Linked DNA regions of Notamacropus eugenii. The protein of the gene in region 1 interacts with the protein of each later gene in a pairwise test. Links are inferred from orthologs where the notes say so. Each region holds a gene or a part of one and is shown in the gene's direction. Other genes may lie near its edges. The genes, in order: MYBPC3; myosin-7; actin, alpha cardiac muscle 1.

The links.
Region 2: the proteins of MYBPC3 (region 1) and myosin-7 interact in a two-hybrid assay, tested with the Homo sapiens proteins (2 studies listed by IntAct). The link is inferred for Notamacropus eugenii from reciprocal best matches to the Homo sapiens genes MYBPC3 and MYH7.
Region 3: the proteins of MYBPC3 (region 1) and actin, alpha cardiac muscle 1 interact in a two-hybrid assay, tested with the Homo sapiens proteins (2 studies listed by IntAct). The link is inferred for Notamacropus eugenii from reciprocal best matches to the Homo sapiens genes MYBPC3 and ACTC1.

What each region holds. Positions count from the first base shown.
Region 1 is NC_092877.1:3,635,065-3,644,895, forward strand, and holds the start of MYBPC3 (myosin-binding protein C, cardiac-type), read left to right. Parts: upstream 1-4,102; 5' UTR 4,103-4,184; coding exon 4,185-4,209; intron 4,210-6,148; coding exon 6,149-6,415; intron 6,416-8,721; coding exon 8,722-8,832; intron 8,833-8,923; coding exon 8,924-8,998; intron 8,999-9,831. UniProt on the Homo sapiens protein: Thick filament-associated protein located in the crossbridge region of vertebrate striated muscle a bands. In vitro it binds MHC, F-actin and native thin filaments, and modifies the activity of actin-activated myosin ATPase.
Region 2 is NC_092878.1:9,698,446-9,708,276, forward strand, and holds the start of myosin-7, read left to right. Parts: upstream 1-3,916; 5' UTR 3,917-3,977; intron 3,978-4,921; exon of another isoform or gene 4,922-4,976; intron 4,977-5,446; exon of another isoform or gene 5,447-5,558; intron 5,559-6,028; exon of another isoform or gene 6,029-6,632; 5' UTR 6,633-6,685; intron 6,686-6,886; exon of another isoform or gene 6,887-7,081; intron 7,082-7,121; exon of another isoform or gene 7,122-7,134; 5' UTR 7,135-7,142; coding exon 7,143-7,343; intron 7,344-7,736; coding exon 7,737-7,880; intron 7,881-8,429; exon of another isoform or gene 8,430-8,489; intron 8,490-9,063; exon of another isoform or gene 9,064-9,540; coding exon 9,541-9,697; intron 9,698-9,757; exon of another isoform or gene 9,758-9,831. UniProt on the Homo sapiens protein: Myosins are actin-based motor molecules with ATPase activity essential for muscle contraction. Forms regular bipolar thick filaments that, together with actin thin filaments, constitute the fundamental contractile unit of skeletal and cardiac muscle.
Region 3 is NC_092878.1:19,590,763-19,600,593, reverse strand, and holds the start of actin, alpha cardiac muscle 1, read left to right. Parts: upstream 1-4,927; 5' UTR 4,928-5,120; intron 5,121-6,122; 5' UTR 6,123-6,144; coding exon 6,145-6,273; intron 6,274-8,512; coding exon 8,513-8,837; intron 8,838-9,779; coding exon 9,780-9,831. UniProt on the Homo sapiens protein: Actins are highly conserved proteins that are involved in various types of cell motility and are ubiquitously expressed in all eukaryotic cells.

The sequences.
Region 1 (9,831 bases):
GCATCCTCTGCTCTGCCTGGTTTCCTCTCCATGAAACAAGATGCCCTGTGCCAGGTTCCCCCTCCTTGCTCTCCCCCTGCCCTCTGTCCCTCCCCTTTTCTGCTTCTTGTGTGTCATCTTCCTTTTTAGATGGTAAGATCCCTGTGGGCAAAGGACCATCTTTCTTTTTAGCCACTGTATTCAGTTTAGCCCAATGCCTGACACTGGAACCTTAATAAATGCTGAAGATTATATTGGATTGGATGAACCAGACCCCACCCTCAGGATATTTGCTTGCATTCTACCTGGGGGCATCAATAACAATGTAATATTATTAATAACTCCCACTTCTACTTAAATAACCCCATCTCAGAAAAGGAAATCGAACAAACCATCAATGAACTCCCTAGGAAAAAATCTCCAGGGCCAGATGGATTTACAAGTGATTTCTATCAAACATTTAAAGAACACTTAATTCCAATACTATACAGACAATTTGGGAAAACTGCCGAAGGAGTCTTCCCAAATTCTTTCTATGATACAAATATGGTTTTGATACCCAAACCAGGAAGAGACAAAACAGAGAAAGAAAACTGTAGACCAATTTCTCTAATGAATATAGATGCAAAAATTTTAAATAAAATTTTAGCAGAAGAATATACCAACTTATCATGAGAATAATACATTATGATCAGGAAGGATTCATACTAGGAATGCAGGGCTGGTTCAATATTAGAAAAACTATCAGCATTATTGATCATATCAACAACAAAACTGACAGAAATCACATGATTATCTCCCTAGATGCAGAAAAAGATTTTGACAAACTACAGCCCCCATTCCTACTGAAAACATTGGAAAGCATAGGAATAAATGGAACTCTCCATAAAATAATAAGCAGTATCTACCAAAAACCATCAGCAAGCATTATATGCAACAGGGACAAGATAAATGCATTTCCAGTAAGATCAGGGGTGAAACAAGGATGTCCATTATCACCATTGTTATTCAATGTGGTGTTAGAAATGTTATCTGTAGCAATAAGAGAAGAAAAAGAAATTGAAGGAATTAGAATAGGCAAAGAAGAAACTAAGTTATCACTCTTTGCAGATGATGTGATGCTATATTTAGAGAATCCTAGAGAATCAAATAAAAAAGCTACTTGAAATAATAAACAACTTTGGCAACATTGCAGGTTACAAAATAAACCCAAATAAATCATCTGCATTTCTATATATTACTAACAAAGCCCAACAGCAAGAGATAGAAAGAGAAATCCCATTTAAAGCTAGGGTAGACACTATAAAATATCTGGGAGTCTACCTGCCAAAACAAACCCAGGGACTATATGAACACAATTACAAAACACTTTTCTCACAAATAAAGTCAGATCTAAGTAAGTGGAAAAACATCAGTTGCTTCTGGGTAGGCCAAGCTAATATAATAAAAATGATAATTCTATCTAAATTAATTTAGTTATTCAATGCCATACCAATGAAATTACCAGATAATTATTTTCTAGAGCTAGAAAAAATAATATCAAAATTCAACTGGAAGAACAAAAGATCTAGAATATCAAGGGAACTAATGAAATTAAATGCTAGGGAAGGTGGTCGAGCCCTACCAGATCTCAAATTGTATTATAAAGCAGCAATAACCAAAACCACTTGGTACTGGCCAAGAAACAGAGGGATAGGCCAGTGGAATAGGTTAGGTACTCAAGACACAGTAGTTAAAGAATATAGCAATCTACTTGGGTTTGATAAACCCAAGGACCCCGGGTTCTGGGATAAGAACTCACTGACTGACAAAAATTGCTGGGAAAACTGGACAACAGTGTGGTGGAAACTGGGCATAGACCAATGCTTGATACCGTATACAAGGATAAAGTCCAAATAGATACATGGTCTAGGTATAAAGATTGATATTATAAACAAATTAGAGGAGCAAGGAATAGTGTATGTGTCAGATTTATGGAGAAGGGAGAAATTTACGACCCAACAAGAGATAGAGAACATTATGAAGTACAAAATGGATAATGTTGATTACATTAAATTAAAAAGTTTTTGCACAAATAAACCCAAAGCAACCAAGATTAGGAGGGAAGCAGAAAACTGGGAAAGAATTTTTGCAACTAGTGTCTATGATAAAGGCCTCATTTCTAAAATATATTGAGAACTAAGTCAAATGCACAAGAATATGTCATTCCCCAACTGAAAAATGGTCAAAGGATATGAACAGGGAATTTTCAGAGGAAGAAATTAAAATTATCTATAATCATATGAAAAACTCTAAATCACTATTGATTAGAGAGATACAAATCAAAACAACTCCGAGGCATCACATCACACCTACCAGACTGGTTAACATGACAAAACAGGAAGATGATAAATGTTGGAGAAGATGTGGGAGATTTGGAACACTCATTCATTGTTGGTGGAGCTGTGAGCTGATCCAACCATTCTGGAGAGCAATTTGGAACTATGCCCAAAGGGCTACAAAAATGTGCATACCCTTTGACTCTTTCCTAAAGAGATCATAGAAATGGGAAAGGGTCCCACACATACAAAAATATTTATAGCAGCTCTCTTTGTGGTGGCCAAAAACTGGAAACCAAGGGAATGCCCATCCATTGGAGAATAGCTGAATAAGTTGTGGTATAGGAATGTAATGGAATACTATTGTGCTGTAAGAAATGATGAACAGGAAGATTTCAGAGAGGCCTGGAAGGACTTGTATGATCTGATGCTGAGTGAAAGGTTCAGAACCAGGAGAACTTTGTACACAGCAACAACCACAGTGTACGGGGAATTTTTCTGGTAGACTTAGTCCTTCATTAAAATGCATGGACTTTAAAAAATTTCCAATGGGCTCTTGAGGCAAAATGCCTTCCACATCCAGAGAAAGAACTATGGAATTGCATCCCAGATAGAAACAGACAGTTTTCTTTTGTATTACATTTTGTTTTGTTTTGTGTTATAGTTTCTTTAATTCATTTTAATTCTTCTATGCAACATGCATTTAATAGGAAAGTATGTGTAGAATCTATATAAGATTGTACGTCGTCTCAGGGAGGGAGCAGAGAGGGACAGGAGAAGGAGGGGGAGGAAGTAGAAAAAATCTAAGATATATGGAAGTGATTGTTGAACACTGAAAACAAATAAAATAATTCAATTAAAAAATAACTCCCATTTCTGTCATGCTTTTAAGTTTTGCAAAGCACTTTCCTCACAACAACACCATGAGGTAGGTTGTAAAATGTTTATTAACCTCATTTTATAATTAAGGGAACAGGATTTCAGAGATGACTCAACTTCCCTCCAGTCATACAGGTACTGGTAAAGCAGGCATCTATGGAGCCTAGAGCTGGATGAAACCTCAAGGGCCATCTTGTCCAATCCCCTCATTTTACAAATAAGGAAACTGAGGCCTAGAGTGGCTACACTCATCACAGGCAGGATTTCAATCCAAGTCCTTTGACTCCAGAGGCTGGTGTTTCCCCACTGTGTCACATTCTGATGAACCCTGGTTTCCAGGCCGAAGGGCCAGGGCACCTTCCCACCATATCTGACTGCCTTCACATCCTGGGCTTGTGACCACAGGATTGTACCACCCCTGCCTTGTCCTTGTGCTCTACAGTATGACCCTGACCTTAATGTTGAGGGCTGTGGGAATCTCTAGGGGCCTGGGAGTGCCCTGAATGGGACAGAGAGAAGGACGAGATAGAGGGCATGTGTGGGGGGAGGGTAAATGACACCAGCCAATTCAACAGAATCTCTTTGGGGGCTCAGCTAGGTCTAGTTCCCATTAGGTGGGTGCTGGGGAAGAGGGAGAAGCAATGAGCTGCAGGGTGGTAGGGGGGGTCCAAGTCACTGACCTCAGAGAGGAGGCTCTCCCTTAGGAGAGAGAGGTCATTTGGCCTTTAGCTGGGCTTTGGCCGCATTCCTTCACTGGCCCTGTTTCTATCTCCCCACTATAGGAGGGGGCTCTCTCTGCTCCCTGGAATTTGTCTATATTTAGTTCTTACAAGAGCCCATAGCTGATAAGGAGCCCCTGGTGATAAAGCTGGGGGAGGACAGGAAGGTAGGGGGCGGGCAGTGATTTATAGGACCAGAGACACTGGTGATCTCACTCCGTCTCTCTGCTCCCTGCTCCTTTGGTCAGTGTTGGTGGTGGGTACCCAGGTGCCAGAAGACTTCCTCAGGATGCCAGAGCTGGCAAAGAAAGCAGGTAAAGATACCTGGGGATGAGAGGATGAGTGGGGATGGGGCAGGAGAAAGCAGTGGATTTAGGGATGAGGGCCAAATTGGGGCTGGTCAGGGAGAACAGTGCTGGAATCCCGGTGGGGATCAGAGGCCCTGCTACCCTAGAGAAGGGTAAGGGGCCTGAGACCAATTCTCCCTGCTGGCTGGCCTAAGGAGTGAGCTGGGAGGGTTTGAGGCAAAAGAAAGGGCCAGGGGTCTGGCCACCATGACAGAACGTAGGGTGGTGGATGTTGTCCAGCTTGGGATGGATTTGGAGTCACAAGGACCAAGGTTCACATACTGGCTTTGAAACTTACAGCCTGTGTGACCCTGGGCAAGTCCATTTCTTTCTCTAAGCCACAATTTCCTCATCTGTTAAATGAGGGGCCAGCCAAATTAGAGGGTCTCTAAGGACCCCAGAAGCTGTGACCAGCATCCTAGAATCCTATGAATCCAGGCTCTCTCAGCTACTACCAGTGTGACCTTGGGCAAATCACTTCATCTCTGTGGACTTCAGTTTTCTTATCTGTATAATGAGAAGTTGAACCTGAAGGCTTTCATTGTCCTTTCCATTTATAACAGAATATAACTTTCCAGGAGAAGGCAGCCCCCAAGAGAGGGAGGGCTCTTTTTTTTTTTTTTGCTCTGCCCATTCTGGTCTCTTCCCCAATGCCATAGAGGTTCTTGGAATAGGGATGGGGTCTGAGAACCCCTTCTTGGAGGTACAACAGAGAGCCCTAACTTTGGAGTTCCCTTGGTCCCTCACCTCTTACCTTCTGGGGGGGGCTACAAATCCCAGGCTCATTTTCCTGTCAGTTTCCTCACTCCCCACTCCTCGAATTTTCTCCCCTCCAAGGTCACCCAACAACAGGACAACTGAACCAGGTATCCATCTCCTGGCACCTGTCTTTGGCCGCTTCCCCTCCCCATCCCCAAAGCCTTATCACAGCTGCTTGTTATCAGGCTGAGGCCCAGAGAGATAAATTTAGCCAAATACCAGGCAGGGTCAGAATTCTCCTCATTTCCTCCTCCCTCTCTCTCCTTGTCCCTTCCCCCAGCCCAGAGCCCAAGAAACAAAGAGACTGATACTGGCATGAAGAATAGGGTTGTATTAGGGTAGTGGGCAGCCAGGTGGCCCAGTGGATAGGGCCATGGACCTTGAGTCAGGAAGATCTGAGTTCAACTCTGGCCTCAGACGTTAGCTGTATGACCCTGGGCGGGTCACTTCACCCTGTTTGCCTCAGTTTCCTCATCTGTAAAATGAGCTGGAGAAAGAAATGCCAAACCACTCTGGTATCTTTGTCAAGAAAACCCCAAATGGGGCCATGAAGAGTTAGATGCTACTGAAAGGACGGAACAACAACACATTAAGATAAGAGGATGATCCTCATTTCACCTTCACAGTCACCACTGTTCAGCTGCCTTGGCCACCATGGGACTCCTGGGGGGAGGGAGATGATTGCCAGGGTGCCTGAGGGGAGGCATCAGTCAGAGGGGTTCTGGGCTGGGCTTGGAGGAAGGAGAATGCTGGGACATATCGCGGCTATACCAGGGGCAGGGCAGGAAGCCCTCCAAGGTGCACTGGGGGAAATCACCCCAGTGTAGGAGAATCATGGGATCCTAGGTCTGGAAAAGACCAGAAAGCCCTCTGCCGCTACACCCACGAGTCAACCTCCCCCTTCCCATCTGAATCTAACACTTTCTCTCCCGACTCTGAGCAAGAAGTGAAGAGTCAGGAAATGGAGAGAACTCGATTCCTGCCTAGAATCTGGCTAAATGTACGGATAACGAGTCAGGGAAGGGGAGACAAGGCTGGAACTGCTCTAGGAGTTGGGGGTATTGAGGGATCAGTTGGGGGGACAACTGGGGGGCTTCCTAAAGCTGAATGAAGTTGAACCTAAAGTTGAACCTCAACTGCTCCTCAGTTTCAGCATTTAGCAAGAAACCCAAAACAGCTGAGGCAGCCGTGGGCAGTTCTGCCTTATTTGAAGCCGAGACCGAGCGGGCAGGCCTCAAGCTACGCTGGCAGAGGGCTGGCAGTGACATTGCAGCCAGTGACAAGTACGTGCTGATGTCAGAGGGCACCAGGCACACTCTGACCGTGCGGGACGTGGGGCCTGATGATCAGGGGCAGTATGCAGCCATCGCAGGCTCTTCCAAGGTCAAGTTTGAACTCAAGGTCAAAGAAGCAGGTCTGTGGCCTTCCAATCGTTCCCTCTCATGCCTCAGAGTGCAGGTACCCTCAGGGGCAAGGGTGGGTCTCCTTCCTCCACTTGGGCACCTGCCCTTTCTGAGTCCCATGGCTCAGTCTTTGCCAAAAGGACAAGCTGAACCTAGGGGCTTCCTGGAATCCAGCCTGGGGCAGCCTCTGGAAACTACCCCTGGAAAAGAGATTTAACCTCTCAGTGTCTGGGCCACTCTCTATGATGCTAAGTTACAGAGAAAATACCAACTTGCATTGGCAGAGAGAGTTTTCTCATTCTGAAGTATCATATACCAATGAATTCAACAGGTTCAGGTACTATACTTATTCCTCCTGTATAGAAGGTGTTGCTTGGTATTGAGGATATAAAGAAAAGAGCCTCAGCCCTCAAAGAGATGACATTCTACTGGGAAGGAATGATAGGTAATATGCCCAGATAAAGAAATGTAAGGTAATTTAAGGGCAGTGAGGATACTAACAAGTAGAGAGATCAGGAAAAACTTCATGGAGGAAAAGATACCTTAGCTGAGCCTTGAAGGAACATTCCAGTCAGAGAAGAAGACTTGTACGTATTTATGTAATAAGAAAGGAGATGTTGGAACACAGAACAGGTATGATTATAGAAAATAATGTAAAATAAGGCTTGAAAGGCAGGTGGAAGCCTATCGTGGAGAACTTAAAATTTCAAGCTAAAGAGTTTGTATTTTATCCTACAGGGAATAAGGAGCCACTGAAGGCTATTGAGCAGAGGAGTAAAATTCTTAATAATTGCAAAAATGCAAATATATGATTATTTCAATAAGTGCCTCTGACAATAATAGCACTCATTTTTTGTTTTTAAGGCAGAGGAAAAATAGCCCATTTTGTGACAAGATAAGTACTCCGTATCTAAAATCAAGTGGCAGCATTATTAGTGGTAGACAAACTCCAGAAGCTTTAGCACTAAACTGAGAATCGGAGCAAGGCTGCCTCTTGTCATTCCTATCACTTGATCTGGTTCTAAAAATGCTAACTGCAGCAAGAAGACAAAAAAAATTACAGGATCCAGTAAAGGTGGGAAGGAGGCAAAATTCTCTCAGTCCGCGGGGGATATGATGGATTGCTTAAAGAACACTGGACGTTCAGTGGAAAATTAATTGGAAGCCCTGGTAACTTTAGTAAAGTAGCAGGTTAATAACAGTCCTGCAGAATCGTCAGCTTTTCTGCGTCTGACTGATAAAAGCCAGCAGGAGCAAGGGGAACATTTATTTATTTTTGTACATGTTATTGCTGAGTTGTTTTTCAGTCATTTCTGACTCTCTGTAACCCCATTTGGCGTCTTCTTGGCAAAGACACTAGAGTGGTTTGCCTTTTCCTTTTCCAGCTCATTTTATAGATGAGGAAACTGAGGCAGAGAGGCTTAAGTGACTTGCCCAGGGTCATACAGCTAGTAAGTGTCTGAGGCCAGATTTGAACTCAGATCTCTGACTCCAGATCTGACTTTCTCTTCACTGTGCCACCTACCTGCCCCCCTAAACCTATATTTAGGAAGATCACTTGGGCACAGTTTGGATCATAGATTTAGAACTGGAAATTTTCTTAAGGATCAGCTAATCTCCATTTGACAGGGGGAGAAATTAAATCTCAGAGAAAAGGTTGCGCTTGAGCAGGACCATACATTTCGTAGCTTCAGAGACAGTTCCCAGAGCTCCAAAGCCAAGTCTCTTCGCTGCTATGCCAGGGTATCTAGGCAGGTGGTGGCTAAGGGCCAGACTTGGACTATGAATAATCCGAGTCTGAATCCTTTCTGAGGTGCTTACTTACTGTGCGACAAGGGGAAAGTCATCTGATTTCTCCCTGCTTCTGTCTCTTTATGTGTAAAATGGGAAGAGTAAAAGCACTTCTCTCCCAAGGTTTCTGTGAGAATCAGGTAACACACGTACGACGCTTTACACACCTTAGTGTTATATAAATATTATTATTATCACCAGCACTCTGGTATTTAGAAGGAGGGGTGACCAAGGAGACCAGGGACAAGGCCAGTGTAGTCTAAATGAGAAGTGATGAAAGCCTAAGCTAGGGCAGTGGCTGTGGAAATGAAAGGGAGCCTTGACAGGCTTTGGTTTGCAGGGCAGGAAAGATTCAAAGCTGACTTGAAAGTGCTGGGATGGGGGGGTAGAGAAGGGAAGACAGGTGGGTTTACGTGAGTCCGATGGGCTCGTGAAATATCCACGTAGAAGTAGCCCGTGACTTCTGGGAACATGGGGGGGGTGGGGTGGAATCCATTAAATATCTCCTTATTCTGATCCCACCCAGAAAAGCCTGACCTGGTTCCAGCCCCTCCTGAAGCACCTTTGCCCTCTAAGCCCCCTTCCCCAAGTGATGCTCCCACTACAGGGTCTGAAGGATGCTCTCCAAACAGTGAAGGTGAGAGAGGACCTGAGGGCAGGGGCCAGGGTAGGAAGAGGCTTTTGAAGTTAAAAAGTGGCAGTGATCCATTTGCTGGAATCTCTTCTAGCCACCTCTGGAGCTGTTTCTGGTGACCCCATTGGCCTCTTTGTGACCCGGCCCCAAGATGGCGAGGTGACTGTGGGTGAGTGCTTATGGGGCCATTGCTCATTGACCTCCACTAACTTCTTTTAATAGCACATTGTGGCCAGAGTTCTAACCAGGCATTTTAGCAGCTGAGGCAGGTTTGGGTGAAATGGGGCTGAGGAGGCAGGGGGAAGGGAGGGAAAGGTGGGTTGGCTCTGGGGAGGCAGAGCGGAGGCAGATGTCAAGAGAGGTAGAGGAACTGGCAGACAGAGGCTGGAGCAGAGATAGCTGTCAGATGAGTGCGGAGCTTATAGAAAAAGAGGGAGAGTGACCCTAACATGAAAGCACCAGGAGTTAGGCAGGATGGAGTGACCTTCAAAGGAGAAGGGGCTGCTGAGTGAAGGTGGCAGGAGGGAGCAAGGATTAAGACCACTCATCCTCCTGGTCCTGCATGCAGGGGTCAGGAGGTGAGGTGAAGCACCTTCAAAGGTTGACCTTCAGTGAGGCCAAAGATGGGAGGTAATTGAGAGGACAGTATGATACTGTAAACAGTGCTGGGCCTAAAGACGGGAAGACCTGAGTTTGAATCCTGACTTAGCCTCTTACAATTTTGGTAATCCTGAGCCAGTCACTTAACCTTTCTAAGTCTCAGTTTCCCCATCTGTAAAAATGGGCATAATAACTTTTTGTTTGTTTTTGTTTTCAGTTTTCAACAATCACTTCCATAAGTTTTAAATTTTTCTCCCCCTCCCTCTACCCTCCCTTCCCATGATAGCATGCTGCAATCTAATATAGGTTCTACACTTATATTCTTATTAAATACAATTTCACATTAGTGATGTTGCATAGAAAAATTAAAACAAATGGGAGAAACCATGAGAAAAACCAAAC
Region 2 (9,831 bases), on another chromosome or scaffold:
GGTTCCTAAATACCCTGGTATGGCTTGTAGCCAGTAGCTCTAGGTTTATCCCCAGAGTTTAGGTTCTCCAAAAGATTTGTAAAATTATTCAGCCTGGACAGCTACTGAAAAAAGGGAAGATTTCCCTGACAAGCAGGGGTGTGAAACATCAGAGCAGGTGTGTGAGGGGTCTTGTGGGGGTCTTTAAGGACAGCAGAGACTTCCAGCTGTCTGGGATGGTGTAGGTGAAATCTAGATTTAATGACTCCTAGAAAGTCCCTGCTATCCCCAATGTGATCAGTCCCCAGGGCACTGAGATTAATCAGGAAGCACAAGTGAGAAGCCCTTTTCTTTTCCTGCCTGCCCCAGCAAACTTGTAGCTCCAAAACAAAGAATTAAAACTACAAATCTAGGTTGAACAAATAAAGTTTGATGGAGCTCTGTTGAATAAACTGTAAATAATGATGCCCAAAATTAGGACATTGGGTTTAAAATGAACACATTAGTCAGTTTCAGGTTCTTGACTCTTGCTCCAGTGACCAGCATACTTGAAGACAAGATCGGCCCCTGATGGGTGCAGAGTGGTGGTGTTTCAGGTGGGTTTCTAGCATATAGGTTCATAGGTTTATATAGCTCTCTTTATAGGATTTTCTATTTTGTCTCCAACCTTCTAAACTATCACTTGTGATTATAAGGAAATAAACCTTAAATCTAAAAAATAAAATGAAATGAATATACTATCATCTGAGCATCGTCTCTTGGACATCTCAGTGACCTGTACCTCAGGCTTGGAGACATCAAGGAGGGAGGTCACCTGTATTTGGAGACTGAAAGGGACAGAAGGAAAACTGTGCGTTCAGTCCTGCCTTTGGAATCCCTGGGTATCTTCTCTAATGTATTTGACTTTTCTGCAAACAGTCTTTGCAGGGCTCAGTTCAGGACTACTGGAATCTTTCCTAGTGTATATGTCACTGGCAGAGCAAACTAGATTCACCCAACAATACTGTGAAGCTAATAGTGCAAGTAATATGGTTTCCATTTTATGGAATGATGGAAGATGATGAGGAAACTGAATGCTACCTCTTCTCTAGATTAGTTCTCTCTGATATCCAGAGGGATATCAAGTTATTCAAATGACAATCCACACCAGATGGAAAGATGTGTTCAGGGAAGAAGGCTTTCAAATTAGCCATCCGAAATATTGGACCATAGATAGAGTGCTGAAAGGGACCTCAGAAGTCCTCTTGACACAGAGTCACCTTGCCCTTACAATCCCAACTCTATGGAAGATCATGATGTAGAATCATGGCGACATGGAACCATGAAGTCCAATCCAGTTGGACTTCATGTGATGAAACTAAAGCCCAATGTGACTGTCATTTGCCCAAGATCATACAGCTAATTAACAACATAGTCAAGGCTAGAACTAAAGTGTTAAGTTTCTGCCCAGCTCTGTACAGATGGGCTGGCTGCCTTCCTAACCCTCATCCACAAACACAAACTGGCTGCTATCCTTTGGAGAGGGGAGCATTGGTCTTTGCATCACCAGCCTTCTTTTTGACTTAAGAGTCAATATCCTTGTTAAGAAGCAGGATGAGCAGCAGAAACTTTGATGGAGAGATCTGCTAAAACTCACCTGTACAACCCTAAGGTGTCATAGTTGGGGAACTGGAGGCTTCTTGGATAACAAAAGGAGAAACTGAGATTTGGAGAGGTTAGTTGTAGTGGGGACAGGTATCCAGACGAGGAGCCCAGAAACCTGGATTCTAGTCCCATTGCCACCACTAATGAGCTCAGATGTAAACTTCATTGAATCATTTATCCTTCCTAGACCTTGGTTCCTTCATCTGTAAAATGAAGGTAGCACTACAAGCACAGGTCTTGTGAAAATCAGAGTGAAGCGGGTAAAGCATTTTGTGAGCCATAAAAGGACTATGGAAAGATCTGCTAGCTAAAGTCCTTTGCAGCTCTGAAATTCTACAAGCCTCTATAAAGTAACTCAATAGTTTAAAGAAGTCAGGGGCAGAGACAGTTCCCTTGTCTATATTTCCGATGTAACATCCTTTCTAGAACTTCACACTTTCTAGATGTCACCTTCTAGACTTTATCCTTTGCCATCTCTTTCCCCTTCTTTTCCCCCTCCAGCCCTCTTCTGCTCCTGCCTCGACTCCTCAATCATTTAAATTTCTAAAAATTGTTTTACATCATCACTTCCCATTATCTGTAAAACACACATAGTGGGCACTTCCTAAATGCTCATTCTCTTCCCTTTCTCTTCCCCAACAGAGTTCACCCTCCTAACAAAAAGCGTAGTTAAACAAAGTAAATCTATGTGCTGGCCATGTCGGGCAAGCTGTACCTTATTCTGCATCTCAATCCCCATCATTGTCAGGTGGCTGGAAGTATAATTAACACTCTAAAGTCAGGACTAGTCACTGCATTCAAATTTCTTACATTTTATTTTTTCCCCATTTATTTCATCTAATTTTTAAAAATGTTGTGAACTTATTAACAAATTAACAAATTTGTTAATTAACAAAATTATTAATTTAAATTAACAAAATTAACAAAAGTTCACAAAATTAACAAAAAGAAATATATCACATACAAAAGGGCAAGAAAAGGGATTGTGTAAAAAAAAGATGTCTTTTGATGTTGTTTCTTTTTACGTTGAAGTCACCGCATAAATTCTTCTCTGGTTCTGCGTTTTTCACTCTCGGTCAGTATAAGTCTTCCCAAATTTCCTCCGATTTCACTTTCAATGTGGGTTTTTTTCTGTATAAAAAAACAAAAAGAGAAAAAACCCATAGGGCCAACAAGCTTGGTACAGTGGATGGAGAGGTGTGCCTGAAGTCAGGAATACCTGAGTTCAAATTCAGCTTCAGACATGTGATCCTGGCCAAGTCATTTAGCTTCTGTGTGCCTTAGTTTATTCAACTGGAAAATGAGGGTAATAATAGCACCCACCTCACAGGAGGGCCAGATGAGATGATATTTGAAAAGCAGTTAGCACAGTACTTAGCACTTAGTAGGTGCCTGATTTCCTTCTCATTCATTCCATGCTCAATTTCCTTCTCCCCAGATTCAAGTGAGATAATGTGTTTAAACTAGTAGGTGCTATATAAATGCGTATTCCTCTTTCCTTTATTGTATACCACTATTCTGTTACATTCATATGCCACACTTTGTTCAGCTATTTGCCAACCAGTGGGCACCCATTTTGCTTCCAACTCCACAAAAAGAATTACTATAAATTTTCATGTATACATGGGCTTTCCCTCCCCCTGGGAAATGCCTAACAGTGGTATGGGTGGGTCACAGAGTATGTGCACTTGAACATCTTTCTAATATACTTGGAAATTTTTGTCCAGAAAGGCTGGACCACTTCAGAGCTCTACCAGCAGTCTCGACTGGCTTCTGACACTCAGTGCCCCATGCCCAAGCCATGAAGTTGGAAGAAGGGCCCAGGAATGTGGATCAGGAAGGCTGCAGTGGGAACCAAGGGGGGTAGCGACGGAGCTGGGGGCTCGATGGGCTAGGAATGGCAGGAGGTCCCGGGCCTGGAGCCCCCAGGGGAGGGTTTGGGAGGGTCTGCTTTTTCTCTCTCCCTTTTGGTGGGCTCCATACTCCTGCCAGCTGTGGAATGTGAGGCTTGTCCAGGGAGATATTTTTTGCTCCATTTGGAGCACCCCCGCCCTCTGGAACTCAGACCCTGCGAGATCTCCGTGCCATAACAATGACGACCACTTCCAATTGTTTCCTATGCCTCCATGGGGGGGAGAGGAGGGAGTTGCTTAGAAAGGGGGGGGGGGAAGGGGACTGGGGGAAATGCTTCTGGTGACAACAACTCTTTCTAAATCCGGCTGGGGACGGGGTGCGGGTGGGGGTGGGAGCACCCTTCAGTTCCATATATAAGGGCCCTGAGACCAGTGCTGCTTCCACATTCTTCTCTCCTTGTCTCTCTCTCTCTCTCCCTCTCTCTGACTTGCTAATCTCAGGTAGGAGTGGTGAGCCTATGACCTCCCTCTGCTGTGCCTGGGACAGCATGGATTGGGAGGGGGCAGACGGTGCTCGCAGGGAAATGATTGGCTTAGGGAGGGATAGGTCTAGTTATCTCTATGGGTCTGTGCACCTGTGCAGGTGTACCTGAAAGGTGAAGGCAAATGTATAGGGGGATATATTTATTACATATTGGTTATATGGGGCCTTAGTTGTGATGAAGAGGGCTGTGTGTGTGCATGTGTGTGTATGTGTATGTGTGTGTGTTTTTGAGGGGATTGTGAGCTTGTGGAAAGAGGTTTCTGAGAAAGTTATGCTCCTGGTAACCTGCATGGTACGTATCAGATATGTAATGTGAGTGAACATGGCACAGGAAATTGCATTTCTATAAATTTGTGGGTCCATGTCATGATAAATCATATTAGAGAAGGGTATTTATGAACACGTGTCTCTATAGGCGTAATCCACCCACCCACGCCCATTTAGTGGAAGTCAGGATAGCGTGGAGAATGAGATTTTATATAATTTATACCACTTGTTGAGCACCTGAAAGTATGGGACGCATAAAAACGTGTCCGGGTATGTATAATGTACATCTGTGAGCCTGAGTATTATGTGTAAACCTAAGAATGAATTCCACATGCATGTATGAATGGATGACATGCACTCAGGAATGTAGATCTATATTGAGATATATACATAGATTCAGACATAGATCTACATCCCTGAGCACATATGTACACCTGATGACATCCGCATACGCGTGCAAGTGGAATTCACATATAGACGTATTTGTGTGTATGTGTGTGTATATATACATACATATATATGAACATGTACGTAAATGGAATACTGGTCTTGGAGTCAGAAAGCCTGGATCAAAGGAAAGACCCTAGATTTGGAGTCAGAATATTTGGGTTTGACCCTCATTTCTGCTACTTACTGCTTACGTGCTGTTGGTAAAGTCACCAAGCTTCTTTAGGCCTCAGTTTCCTTATCTGAAAAAAGGAGAAGCTTAGATGAGATGATCTTTAAGGTCCTTTCCAGCTCTAAATCCCATGACCTTATGACTTGCGTAACATTTATGAGCTATACAACCCTGAATAAGTCATTTAATTTCTCTGTGCCTCATTTTCTGTATTTTTTTTTTAAAAAAGGATAATAATTCATGTATTCGCTGGCTCCCAGTGTTGTGGGTGAAGTGCTTTGTAAATCTTAAAGCAATATAAATACAGGAGCTGTCATGATGATGATGACGATGATAGGTAAAGAACTTTCCCCACAGCATCCTCGGGAATTAGTCATCACAAATATTTTTGCTCCCTTTTAACAGATGAGGGAACTGAGAGACAAGGTAACTAAGTGACTTGCCCAAGATGACACAACTGATTGGTATTTGAACTCTTTTCCTTGCTACAAATCCAGCACTGTCCTTTGTGAGCATGTTTGGAAGGGATAGAGTCCAGACCTGTGATTTCCTTGGTGTGGGAGGAACTCCTTTCACTGATGGAGATCAGCAAGAGCAGCTAGAGCCTTCCCTAGAGCACTAAGAGGTTGAGGATCCGCTCAGGTTCACACAGCTAGAATGAATCAAAGGTAGCACTTGAATTCAGGTCTTGCTTGCTCCAGGGCTGGCCACATATAATAATAGCTATTATTTCTATAATACTGTAAAGTTTGCAAAGTGTTTTATGTATGTTAACTTCTTTGATCTTCATAATAATCCTGTAAAGTAGGTGCTACTATTTTCCCATTTTATAAATGAGGAAACTGAGGTACAGAGAGGTTAATTTGTCCAGGGTCCCATAGCTAGTAAGTGTCTAAGGTAGGAGTTGGACTCAGGTCTTCCTGACCTCAAGTTCTGAGCACTATCGACTGAGCACCTAGCTATCTCTATACCACACTGCCTTTGCTGTACATTTTGGAGGTACAGGTATTTATTAGAAAGTGTGTGTATGTGTTTGAAATGGGTATGTGTGTATGTGTGCGTGCGTGTGTGTGTGCGTGCGTGTGTGTGTGAGAGAGAGAGAGAGGAAGAGAGAGAGAGAGAGAGAGAGAGAGAGAGAGAGAGAGAGAGAGAGAGAGAGAGAGAGAGAGAGAGAGAGAGAGAGACAGCCCCTGTAAGGAGGTGTGTGTGTGATGGGTAGGTATGATGGGTGTATCCGGCTGGGGATACATGGTGTGTGGTGTATCCCCTGACCAGATGGATGCATCCAAAGATCAATCACTTTCACATGTCCTAGGTGTTTTTCTAGCTGAGTGAGACTGATAATTCCAGTAGTTTATGAAAATTAGAGTTATTCATTACTAGTCCCACTTTCTATAAACTGTGAACAAATGCATGGAAAAGCCCTTTGGGCAAGAGGGAGATTATCTCCCAAATTGGTGTCCGAGGAAGTAAAGGAGATTAAGACTCCAGGCATAACCACCTTCAGGAAACCAATTTACTACTTTTGTGACTAAAGCTTTGATCTCAAGGGTATGATGTCTGGGGGAAGAGAAGAAAAGAAGGGATCACACAGGCTCCTGAGCATAACCAGACTGAAAGAAAGTGACTGCTAGGGCCAGAGAAAGGCAAAGATGATGGGATTGCCAGGTTGTGGGGTGAGGGTCTTCTTGTTCCCATCCCCTGACATTTCCTTTCTGCTTTCCAGCAGGCGTGTGTTCTTCCCTCCTCTCCTGTAGACTCCTCTGAGGAGAAGCCAAGGTAAATGGTTGAAAGAGAGCTATTGAAATGATAAGATATGAGAGAAAGAGAGGGAGAGGTTGAGTTCAGCAGCCCCAAGCTTGGGAAGTTAGGGAGTTTTTACTTCTCCCTGCTTCTACAGGGGATCTCCAGACAGTGACTTGGAAACCATAGAGAGTGCACCAATGAAGGATAAAATGAGGGAAGGGGAAAGGGACATACCTAGAGAAACCCTCCAATCCACACAATTCAGACCCAAAGCACCAGCAGATCTCCCTAATGGGGGTGTCTCCAGTCTGAACAAATATCCTCTACTTCATTTTCCTTTGCTGCTAGAGTTGCTTGGTTGCCCCTCTACAGGAAAGGTAGATTGAGGAAATAGGAGTTGTTCCATGGGGTTTAATCTGGTTGCAGAGACTGAAAAGGAGAAGGAGGAGATAGGGAGATCACTCTGTTTTTTCCCCACTCAGGCATAGCCATGGGTGATGCTGAGATGTCCGCATTTGGGGCAGCCGCCCCGTTCCTTCGCAAGTCGGAGAAGGAGCGGCTAGAAGCACAAACCAGGCCCTTTGACCTCAAGAAGGATGTCTTTGTGCCTGATGACAAGGAAGAGTTTGTCAAAGCCAAGATTCTGTCTCGGGAAGGGGGCAAAATCACCGCTGAGACAGAGCATGGCAAGGTGGGTCACAGAGTGGGTAGGGATGGTCAGAGGTCCAAACATGGGTAGGCTGTGTTGAATATAACCAAGGTCACACCCCATGAACCCAAAGGTCCCCCATTATTCCCTTGTCTCAGGGATCTATACTACCCCACTTTCACTGGAATAATCCCTAACCTCAAACATCCCTTCTCCCTTGGAGATCTTGGTTTTCCCTCCCTCCAACTACCTTGTCCTCCACCTCCCTTCAAAAGATCTGACCCCCTCTTCCAACCATCTCCAGTCCTCTCAGCAATCCTTATCCATCCTTTCCCCAATTAACTTTAACTCCTAATATTTTTCCAAGAGTATGGAAAGGATGAATCAGGAAAGTGTAATCTCATGATGGCAAAACTGGGGTGGGATCTCTTGTAGACAGTGACAGTGAAAGAAGACCAGGTCATGCAGCAGAACCCACCCAAGTTTGACAAGATTGAGGATATGGCTATGCTGACCTTCCTGCATGAGCCCGCAGTGCTGTACAACCTCAAGGACCGATATGCCTCCTGGATGATCTATGTGAGTGCCCCATTCCAGAACTAGCCCTCATGGTTCCCTCTAGAGTTATTTTCTGCATACCAACCCCTCTCCACAATGGAAAGTGGCATCATCCTTGGCACTATCATTATTAATTCTATCTGCAGACTCTCCCACCTGTCCCTTCCTTCTATCCCACTGTCACCACCACCCTAATTCAGGATCTGATTGTCTCTTGCCTGAACTGTTATAATAGTCTCTTTATTAGCCTCCCTGCTCTGATATCACTCCCTTTCAGCACATCACTGTCAAATTAATCCTCCTAAAGGACAACTCTGACCATATCTCTCCTGCATTCCAAAAGCTTCAGTAGCTCCACATTGCCCGATAAATCCAACTCAAGCTTCTTGGCCTGGCATTTAAGGCTTTATACAATCTGGCCACAAGTCTAATTTTTCCAGCTGTATCCCATACTCCAGCCAAACTAAGTTATTCATGTATTTACAAACACATCTCATACTTTCTAGGAGTAAAAAGTGTTGAACTTGGGATCAAGGTGATTGGAGTTCAAATTCTATCTCAAACACTTACTAGCTGTGTGACCATGGGCAAGTCCTTTGCAGCCTGGATTTTCCACCTATAAAATAGATTCTATTTCAAAAGATCATTACCAAAATCAAATAAGATAACATATAGAAATATTTTCAAGCCTTAAATCACTAGAGAAATGTTAGTTGTCATTATTAATTATCATTTCCAGTTTCCATGCCTTTGTTTATACCATTCCCTATATGCCTCCATCCCACCTCCATCTGTTGAAATCCTACCCACTCTTCAAATCTCAGTTCAAATGTCATCTCCTCCATAAAACTTGCCCTGTTCTCCTAGCTAGAAGTTCTCTTTCCTAAAAATAAAATCTTTTAACACTTTGTAAATCTCTCATGAACTTATTATGTCCAATTGTGTATTATAGTTATTTGCATATATCTTTTTCCCCTACTGGGTTGTGAATTCTTTGAAGGCAAAAACCCATTCATCCTTTTATCTGTCTCCCTCAGCATCTAATGTAGTGACTTGCACATTGTCAACACCCCATAACTGCTTGCTGAACATGCTGAATTCAGAAATTTTCATTCTGATCTATACTCTTTTTACCCTTTGAGACCCAGATGTTTCTGTGCTCTATGTCCAGATGCTATCACTTGTTTAGATTACATATCATTACCTTTTGGTTGAATTCTATCCTCTTGGCAGGCATCATTTTCCCTTTTTCAGTGAACTCAGCATTTTGCTCCTTTTCCTGTCTTTGAATCCTTTTATATACGTGTGGCACTCTTGTTTGAAGAGAGAGATAGAGGAGACACATAAGGACAAGGACAGATAAAGAGATACAGTCACAGACAGACAGAAAGAAGACTGAGAAACAGGGAGACAGAGAGACAGAGACATGGAAAAAGAGACCCAAAGAGAGAAGACAGAGCTGAGAGAGACACACAGAAACAGAGACAGACAGGGAAACAAACACAGAGGGACAGGGACAGAGAAGTACAGAGATACAGAAAAAGGCACAGAGACATAAAGAGATAGAAACAAAAAAGAGACTCTGTGTGCGCGTTTCCCATTTCTGAATCTGAGTCTTCTTTTCCCCTCCCTGACCCCACAATCTCTGACCTTTCTCTCTGTCTCTCTCTCTTGGCTGCAGACCTACTCTGGGCTCTTCTGCGTCACCGTCAATCCTTACAAGTGGCTGCCAGTGTACGATGCAGAGGTGGTCGCTGCCTACAGGGGAAAAAAGAGGAGTGAAGCTCCACCCCACATCTTCTCCATTTCTGATAACGCCTATCAGTACATGCTGACAGGTGAGAAAACACCCCATGATTTCCTGAGCATGGCCCGAAGGAGGACATTCCCATACTCACCTTCTTCCTCTTCACAAAGAATAGAAAATTGGGAGATAATTGAATCAAAGGCAAGGACAGTATCTGGTTGGGAT
Region 3 (9,831 bases), on another chromosome or scaffold:
TCACATAAAAGGCAATGTTTGATCTGAGTCTTGAAGGAGACTAGGTATCCTAAGAGACAAAAGGAAGAAGAGAGTACATTACAGACGTGGGGGGAAATGTATTGAGGCAGTATCACAGTACTGAGTACGGTGATCTTCTGGCTGCTATACGTTTGCAGTCTTCCCTGGTCTCTCTCAATGACAGTTCCTTCCTTTTAACATTATCTTCAATTTATCATATATATACATATATGTATATATGCACATACATATGTGTATGGATGTACATGTGTATGTGTGTGTATATATGTATGTATGTATATGCACATACATATGTATATATATGCATGTGTGTGTGTGTCTCTGTTGGTACCCAGCTGTTTGCATTTTGTCTCTTCCATTAGCTTGTGAGTTTCTTGACTGTTTCTAACCTTTCTTTTTATTCCCATCATTTAGCACTGTGGCTGGCACATAGTTGGTACCTAAAAATTGATTGGTTACCTGTGTCAGCAAAGGCATTGAAAACACCAGAACCTCCCAACTCATGAGGTAGCACCCACTGAATTGACAACTGATTGCTTTGGTTCATTCTAATGCTTCTGTTCATTGTAAATAAGGTGTTACACACAAACCTGGGCAGGCTAACACCAAGCTTGGGCTGTCCAAGAAAGGTAGGGTTGCTGCAGGTAACCCTCAAAAAATGGAAATTCCATACATAAAATGACTGCCAGCATGGTAGTCAGTTAAGTCTGAGCTAGAGAGGAAGCTTACTAAATTAAGGAGCAAACCTGTGAGCTTTTTAGCTCTTGAAACATTCCTGAAGGACAAGCTCCTTTTAAGGAATTAGGACACTACCTAGAAATCCCTGTGTGTTGACTCTGACTCCTGAAAGGGTAGAGGGTAATAGCCAGGAAGTAACTGGAATTGGACTCAACCTACTTTGGAATCTTGACTCTCTCTCTCTCTCTCTCTCTCTCTCTCTCTCTCTCTCTCTCTCTCTCTCTCTCTCTCTCTCTCTCTCTCTCTCTCTCTTCTCTCCCTCTCTTTGTCCCACCCCTCTAAGCCCCTCTTTCTGAGTCTTAGTAAATAGCTGATTGCAGTTGGCCCCAACATGTCAAATGACAGTGACCACAGGAATGTGCTATCTGGGAAGACAACCATTTGCGTTTGGAATGCTCTCCCTAGTGCTCAGCCTCTTTGGGGGCTGCACGTAAAATGTGGGAAAATATATTCAGAGAATGCCAGTCCCTTGGTATTGAATTCTCAGTTTCATGATGTGACCTCCCCTCTGTGCTTTTCCCCCACCCCCACTCCCATTCCTACACACACTTTCTTCTTTCAATTCAAGTGAAAAACCAGCTCCAGCCAGAGGGCACTGGTGAGTGGGGACATGCCAACTGAAGGAAATAAAAAGAAACACGTGTGTGAAGGACATCAGCTGTCCCTGTTCGGGAGGGCTGTCTCCCCCCTCCTCCCTCTGGCAATCTGGACCCAGGAGTCTTTCTCCCTCAGTCAGGGGAATGCAGGATGTGACTGGGAGAGTCTGATTGGAGAGGAATTCAACCAGGGCTATCAGTTACCAGCTTCTATGTAAATACTGTGGCACCTCTGAAAGCAGGAACAGCTGAGATAAGTGACTGTTAATCTATCAGTCCATTCTATTGGTGCTGTAGTAGAGACTACTAGACTTGGAGTCAGAAAGACCTGATTTCAAATTCTATTTCACTTACTAACTGGGCAGGTCAATGAACTTTTCAGCCTCAGTTTCCTCATCTGTCAAATGAAGATCATAATGGCACCTACTTCATAGAGTTATTGTGAGGATCAAATAGGATAAAATATCTAAGTCTATTTTATTTTCTATTAATATTTTCTTTAATATTTATATTCAATATTTATTTAATATTTTATTTTAAGCAAATCTGAATGGACTCTATAAATATTATTATGATTCTTTCTGTTCCCTATAGATGGTTGATGTGGACTTCTTCTAATCAGAGAATAAAAACAGGGATCCGAAGAGGCATTGCCTCTTTTTGCTACTTAGCTCTGCCCCCTGGCATGTTCACCACATTATCACTGCAAAGGGCCTGACTTCAGCACTACAGTCTTCTGGACATTCTGAATGTAGGGCCTTTGGCTTTTGTAGTCACAGAAGAACATTGGATCTAACCTAGGATGATACAGGCAGCATTCAGCAAATTTCTGTACATGTGCAGATAAAGGACATTCTACTCTCTTATTCACAGAGGTATGGGGAGGCCAAAGGGTCAAAGTTCTGTTCTTTTCCAGGTGATTTGGACCAGTTTGGGGTCATCTGAAAGGTCTCCGACACTCCTAGAGCAATGGATTTGGAGTCAAAGGACCTGGGTTGAAATATTAGTTTTGCCAGTTACTAATTGTGTGACTAATTGTGTGAAGTCACTTTAAACCGTTCAGGGGCCTTGGTTTCCTTATCTGTTAAATGAGGCAGCTGAACTATATAAAGCACTTACTAATATGCCAGGTGCTGTGCTAAGCACTGAGGACCCAAACAAGTAAATAAGAACATTTAGCCCTAAATGTGATCCTATAATCTATCTGGTATCTTCCAGTGGTCTTCTACGTCACCTCCTGGGGCCTATTCTACAAAAGGAAGAGGAATTGATAGATATTTGGGGGGCGTGGGAGAGGGGAGTTAAGGAGATGGGTTCTTCCCAGGACCCTGGAATCACATAAATACAGTCTGTCTAGTTCACATATGGTATAGGCTTAGGGTTCAACTAGTTAGTTAATTGTAGGTTGGAATATAACTGCTCTCTTTTTCGAGCAAGACTTGAAAATTCTCTCCCCTGCAATCATTCTTTTTCCTTCTTCCTCTCTCTCTCCTTTAGTCCTTCCTTGGGTGGAGATTTTTAGGTTAGTTGATTCTATGTAACAAGATTGAAAAGCTGCTGAACAGGCTTCCAGTGAGCCTCCCAAGAAGGGGAGACGGTGCCATCATTTCTACCCATGTTATTTACCTCAGTGTGGGATTTCTTAAGGGGCACTTTGCAATTGGAAATCATGGGAGTGAGGAATAAGCTCTATTACTGTCCTAAGTGAACAAACTGTAGCTTCACTATACCATAAAGCAATGGGAAGATGGTCTTAATTCTAAAAAAAGGAAGACCAATTGATAGAGCCTGAAAGAATGACCATGATTATAACCTCACTTCATCTTGTGTCTACATGTATACATGGTTAAGCAGAACTAATCTTTTACATCTACTCCTCCTTCCTTAAATACACAGTGTCCCAGAATTCATACTGAAGACTTCTGGGACACCCTGTATAACATACTCATTGCATGTAATATGAATGCAAATAGATGAGCATCTGGTGTCTTTTCCAGGAAAAGAAGCCAAGCTCAACACCAAAGTTGGCTTAATCTGTTTCTTACATAGACCAACCCAAACATGGTTGAGGAGAAAAGGGGCAGGCCTTAGATATTTTCAGTTAGGACCCATATCTCTACTCTGAATGCCTCCTCAGCATTCCCAAGCCCACTCCACTGAGGGATGCCTGCCTGGTCTTCTATTTTTAACTGGTATGGACTAGAAGAAAACTGCATATAAACAAAACAACAAAATATAACTCCTTTAAAGATTTATAGATCCAAGGGGATCAGTGCTGGGTAAAATTATGAATGAAGTTGATCTTTCCTTAACTTTTCACACCCTTCTTTACCGAAAACCTCTCTTTGAAATCCTCACTGAAACTTCTTAGCAAGAAAGGATCTAAGGCAGTCTTCTTGCATGTGAATTTAAGTTAGTGTGTTGCATTTCTCAAAGGGAACTTACATTTTAAGACATCTCTAACTGAAATGAAAGCTTTTTATACCATTAAAAGATGTCCAGCAAACATCGGAGAATGGGTGGGAGAAATATTTGCAGGGGCAGAGGTGGGGGGAGAGAGAGATAGGGGGACGAGCTCTTCCCAGGACCCTGGAATCACACAAATACAGTCTAGCTAGTTCACGTATGATATAGGCTTAGGGCTCAACTAGTTAATTAATTGTGGGTTGGAATATAAATGCTTTTCTTTCTTGAGCAAAACTTGAAAATTCTCTCCACCTTGCAATCACTCATTCTCTTTCTTCCTCTCTCACTCCTCTAGTGATAGGGTACAATAACAGCTGATAAATTTGATTAATAAGAGGTTTTGTTCACCACAAAGCAGTCAGCTCTATTTTTCTATCTTCACTCAGCAGTGTATATAGCGACACTAGGGTTATTCATCTCCAGAAACCCAGTAGTTCTTCCTACCCAGCTACCTGCCTCTTTGCCATGAAGATACAGATTTTCAATGGCCTTATTGTGCCAGACTATAATGTTCATGAAAACCGTACCTTTTATCTCTTTCCCCATTTCTTGCTTAGGAACACCAGAAGGATGGGGCCACTTTCTTCATACATGGATCAGCTTCCAGGTTTTTCCTAGAAGAGGACCTCATGCCAGACTTTCTTTAATCATCTGTATATAACTTATTGGCCTTAACCCTGCTACATAGTTATGACTGGTTGAAAATTTACAGTGGCATGGTGGCAAGTGTGCCAAGTTTGGGGCAAGAGATCTTTCCTGAATATTCTGGTACCACCACTGTAACCTTGTTATTTTACCTCTGCGGACCTCAGTTTCCTCATTTGTAAAATGAAGTGTTGAACTAGAGGACCTCTAAAGTTTGTTCCATCTTTAAATCTATGATTCTGTAGAGTCAAACCAAATTCAATGAGAAACCCTTCTCCCTCGTTCCAGTGATCCCCCAGGAAAAGGGTATGTGTGACCTTCCCTCCCCCTCCCCCTCCTCCCATTCTCCTACCCCTCCCTGGACTCCCTATTTGGCTATCCCCTTGACTGTCCCCCTCCCCTACCTTACATGGTCTGGGGGCCCCCTGTTCTGCCTCTCCCCTTCTTTTGGCTCCATGAATGGACTCAGCGCTCCCTAATGGCGTGAAGGCGACCAAATAAGGGCAAGGTGGCAAGCCTGGGTCCCCCCACCCCCTGGCCCCACTCGGCCCCAACTGACACCGTCCATCAAAGCAGTATAAAGCGGCGCGGCTGCCGTGCCCCAGACACCAAGCGTCTGCCTACCCCGGAGCTGGAGCCGCGGGTGCTGAACTGGTGAGTCAGCGCAGAACCTGGCGCAGCGTCGCATCCATCCAAGTAGCACCAGAGGCTCGGGACAGAGGGCTGGGGAGGGAGGGTGAGCAGGGCAGTGGGGACGCACGCTTGACTTCCTGGCGCCTTTTAGTTACTTTTCTCTGCTGTTTTCTTCTCTCTCTGTCTGTCTCTCTCCCTGCTGCGACCCTTCCCGAAAAAAAAAAAACGTATTTGACTTTGTACCGACTTTCCTATTTGGTCTTTCCACTTGGGCGATGTTGGAGATAGGATAGGGGATGGACAGAGAATTTCTCGTTTTCTTTTATTTTCTCGTTCTTTTGGGAACGACCCCTCCCACGCCCCACTCCCCAGCCTTCTCTCAGCTTGAGTGGGCGCAGGGGTCTGGCAAGCTGCTCGGTTTCCCATTCTAGACCGGGACTGGGGAGCATAGACGGCTGGGGGTGCCTACCGTCCTGCGTCCCGTATAGAGAAAAGCAAGCTTTCTAGAGCCCAGGCTGGAATCTGGATGGGCTGACTCTAAGACCCAGCCTAAGAGTGGGCTCTGAGTTAGAGGAGCTTTGTCCTAAGCCAGGGCCATGCAGCATCTGGTCCAGGAGCAGGGGATGGGGATACTGGGGATGCTGAGGGCAGGCGCCAGGGAGTGAAGTCGGAGGAATGCTCAGTACAGTTGTCATTGGTCCCTGACAGCTTTTTGTTACCCCACAGAAAGGAAGGGTGACCCTCTCCTCGAGCACCAGCCAATGCTTTTTCATCCAGTTCTTTGTCTTTCATCCTCTCTTGCTTTGCTTTCCTCTCCTCTTTCTCTCAGACGCCCCACCCCTGCAATTCAATCGCTTTTTTGGTTCCTTTTGGGGAGCCCAAATGCAGCCCCCCTCCCACCTATTTTATCCCTAGAGCCCCCCCCCCCCTTCAGGGAAACTCCTTGGTTGATGTCTACACCCCCCACCAGCTCCATCTCACTTTCTGGAGAGTGACCCTCCCCTCTCTCTCCTCCACCCACAGAACTCCTTGAGACCTCAGCAAGATGTGTGACGACGAGGAGACCACCGCTCTGGTTTGCGACAATGGCTCTGGGCTGGTCAAAGCTGGTTTTGCTGGCGATGATGCGCCCCGTGCTGTTTTCCCATCCATCGTGGGCCGCCCCCGCCACCAGGTAACCTTTGCACTCATCTCTAATCCAAATCTGCAGCCTGGAGGAGCTTCTACTCCACCAGCAACCCCTCCCCCCATCTCTTCTGACCTCCATACCTCTTCTCTTACTCAGATCCTCCTCACCCTCATCTCACGGTATCTTTAATAATAATGACATCACCCTCATGATGCCATTGGTCTTCGAGAACAAAAAGGAGAAGAACGATAACAAAATAGCTCGACATTTGTATGAGTTTTTTAATCAGAGGTTTTGGGTTCAAATCCTAGTTCTTCCTCTTATTACCTATGTGACCCTGGCCAAGTTACTTTAACCTCTCAGTCTCAGTTTCCTCATCAGCAAAATGAGAGGATTGGATTAGATAACCTCAGAGATCCAGCTCAGCTCTAGAACTATGATCTTGTATAGTACTTGAAGGTTTGAAAAGCACTTTATGTGAACTATTTCATTTCAGCCTCAAAATAGCCCTTGGGGATAGACACTTACTACAGCTGAGCAAACTGAGTTTCAGAGACTTCCTATGGCCACACAGCTAATGCCAGAGGCTGGGAGTTCATGACTCCACATCCTGAGCTCTTTCCACTACATCTCCTTCCTTTCTTTCAAATCTGGCTTTTGACCCTCCCAACTAACCTTGATGGCTTAACTGGTCCCAAGGCCAAGGAAGCAAAAACTTAAACCAAAATCAACACCAGCAAAAACAGATTCACTGAAATCCTCCCAGTGAACTTAAAGTTCTTTCTCTGGCTCTCCCTATAGATATATACCAGGAAGGAGTCCATTTCCTAAGTATTAACCCATTACCTACTGTCTCCCAACTGGAATGCCCTCTGGAATTATCAGGCAAAAGTGTAGCTTCTTTTCCATTTCCCATATACATTGCTTTCTCTTCCTTTTTCTGTCTTTTACCAGAATTCTACAAAAATAAAACTCCTTTCAGCCTGCACCCCCATTTTCCTTCTTCCTTCAAGAGAGTACTAACTCTCAGTTATATCTCGTATCTCTAACTATGGCTTCTTAAAAATCCAGGCATCGTTGAATAAGTGACTGAAATGGTGCTAGTAATATACCACCTTGTTTACTACAAGAAATGTCACCCTCTGAGTATCTGCACCATGCCAACCAGGCAAGGCTGCCAAGCTGGTCTAGTTAGAACTTCTTATAACACATGAATGCTATATTGGTTCTGTGGAGATTAAATTTCACTGTTAGGGTGATAATAGCCCAGCTCTTTGTAATTTTTTATTCCTTCTGGGAATTCTAAAGTTTTTCCCCTTAGGTGTCATTCATAAAGGAAGTTTTATACCCCCCCACATGTATAAATATATGTATATATTTACATATATGTATATATATTCATTTGAATTAAAGTAGTCTTTTTACATAATTTCCCTTAGTTTGAATGACAATTCTGCTATTTTTGTCTATGGGAACTTGAACAAGTCACTTCAACTCTCTTCATTACAGTTTCCTCATTTACAAAATGAGAGATATCCTAGTAGCATCTAGGTGGAGCAGTGGACAAGAGCTCTAGGTGTGGAATGGGGATAAGTTCAAATCCTGCCTGGGACATTTATTAATCATGTGACCCTGGAGTCACTTAACTCCAGTTTTCTCTTCTGCAAAATGGGGATAATAGTAGCACCTATCTCCTAGGGCTTTTGTGAGGATGAGATAACATTCATAAAGTACTTTGCAAACCTTAAAGTGCTGCATAAATGCTAGCTATTACTATGTGATATCTGTAGTTCTGTCCCTATTATGTTTTCTTCAGTGAAATGATTTTCTATAGTTTGTTTCCTTCATCCATTCCTATAGTGGGGAAGATAAGTTCTGCACTTATTTAGCATATATAACATATATACATATATATACACACATATATATATACATATACATATATACACATACACAAAATAGTATTATTATTAACAATGACTTGCATTTATGTGACACTTTATGAAATGTTTTCCTAAAAAAAGTCTCAAGTAGATAGTACATGTATTATCTCCATCTTACAGTTGATCAAGCTGAGATTTGAAGAAGTTGTGTCTTTTCTAGTTACAAGGCCAGTAAAACTAAGAGCTAAGATGTAAATCCAGTCTTCTGAATTCATCTAGAATTCTTTCCACCACAAACTACTTCATCTCTTTTTGCCTTGGTTAGTGATGCCTACTAATCAATGTTGGTAGAGAAGGAGCTTTACTTTTCAGTTTTCCCATCTCTTTTCTCCTCCCTACAGGGTGTCATGGTGGGTATGGGTCAGAAAGATTCCTATGTAGGTGATGAGGCTCAAAGCAAGAGAGGTATCCTGACCCTAAAGTACCCCATTGAGCATGGCATTATCACCAACTGGGATGACATGGAAAAGATCTGGCACCATACCTTCTACAATGAACTTCGTGTAGCCCCAGAGGAGCACCCCACTCTGCTTACTGAGGCCCCTCTGAATCCCAAAGCCAACCGAGAGAAGATGACTCAGATTATGTTTGAGACCTTCAATGTCCCTGCCATGTATGTGGCAATCCAGGCAGTGCTGTCCTTGTATGCATCTGGCCGTACCACAGGTATGAAAGATATTCTGTCTTAACTGAGGAGACAATCTAGGTTAGTGAATAGAGCTTTTATGAAAATTTGGAAAAACTTGCAGCACAAGGTAATTTACTTAGTTTTCTATTATTTTCCATATATAATAAGGAAATAATCCCATTTTTTCCAGTATCCATCCCATAGTAGGTACTTAAATACTTGTTGATTGATTGACTAGCCTATCTTACTGGACCATTAATAGGACTAATGAGAGTATACCTGGAAAATGTGTGGAGAATGAGACAGTAATAACACCAGGAGTTTATAGGACAGTTGTCCTCCTAAGTATGATAAGAACTTTAACAAATCTCCTATTATTTCAAAGGCACATCGTATCATAGGCAAGAACCTGCAACATGTTGCAAACTGAAATAGAGAGATTTTACATTTACTTACAAATGTGAAAGGTACCACGCAAACTCCAAAAGTAAATTTTCATTCTTTTCAAAATGTGCATCAATAGATTCATTTTTATATTTTACTTCACAAGATTCACGGTTAAGTAGAAAGAGTAAAATGCTGCTAAGTAGTTTTTATTTGTCTTTCCTACCTAAAGTGTTCATAACCTTTCTGCAGTAGTGAAACAAGACACATATTATACAAAAAACAGGATACTATAATCTTTAAGGCGGGTGTGGTTGGTAAGATGTGGTCATGGATAAGTATACTGAAGTCATTTTTTTCTACTTCATTATTTAAAAGTGTGAGCTGTGACTGATTGGCTTCACATTTAGCATCCATTACATGGAAATGTATTCTCTACTGTAGGAGAGATCTGATCTTTCCTGGGCCAATGCCCAGCTCTGGTATCTGTCAGCAGCCAAGATTGGAAGCAAGCTTCTCACTTCTGGGTCTGTTGTGACTAAAGAGTTTTGCTGCCCTTACAATTTTATCTTATCTTTGTTATTTCTTTCTTATAGGAATTGTTCTTGACTCTGGTGATGGTGTCACTCACAATGTCCCCATCTATGA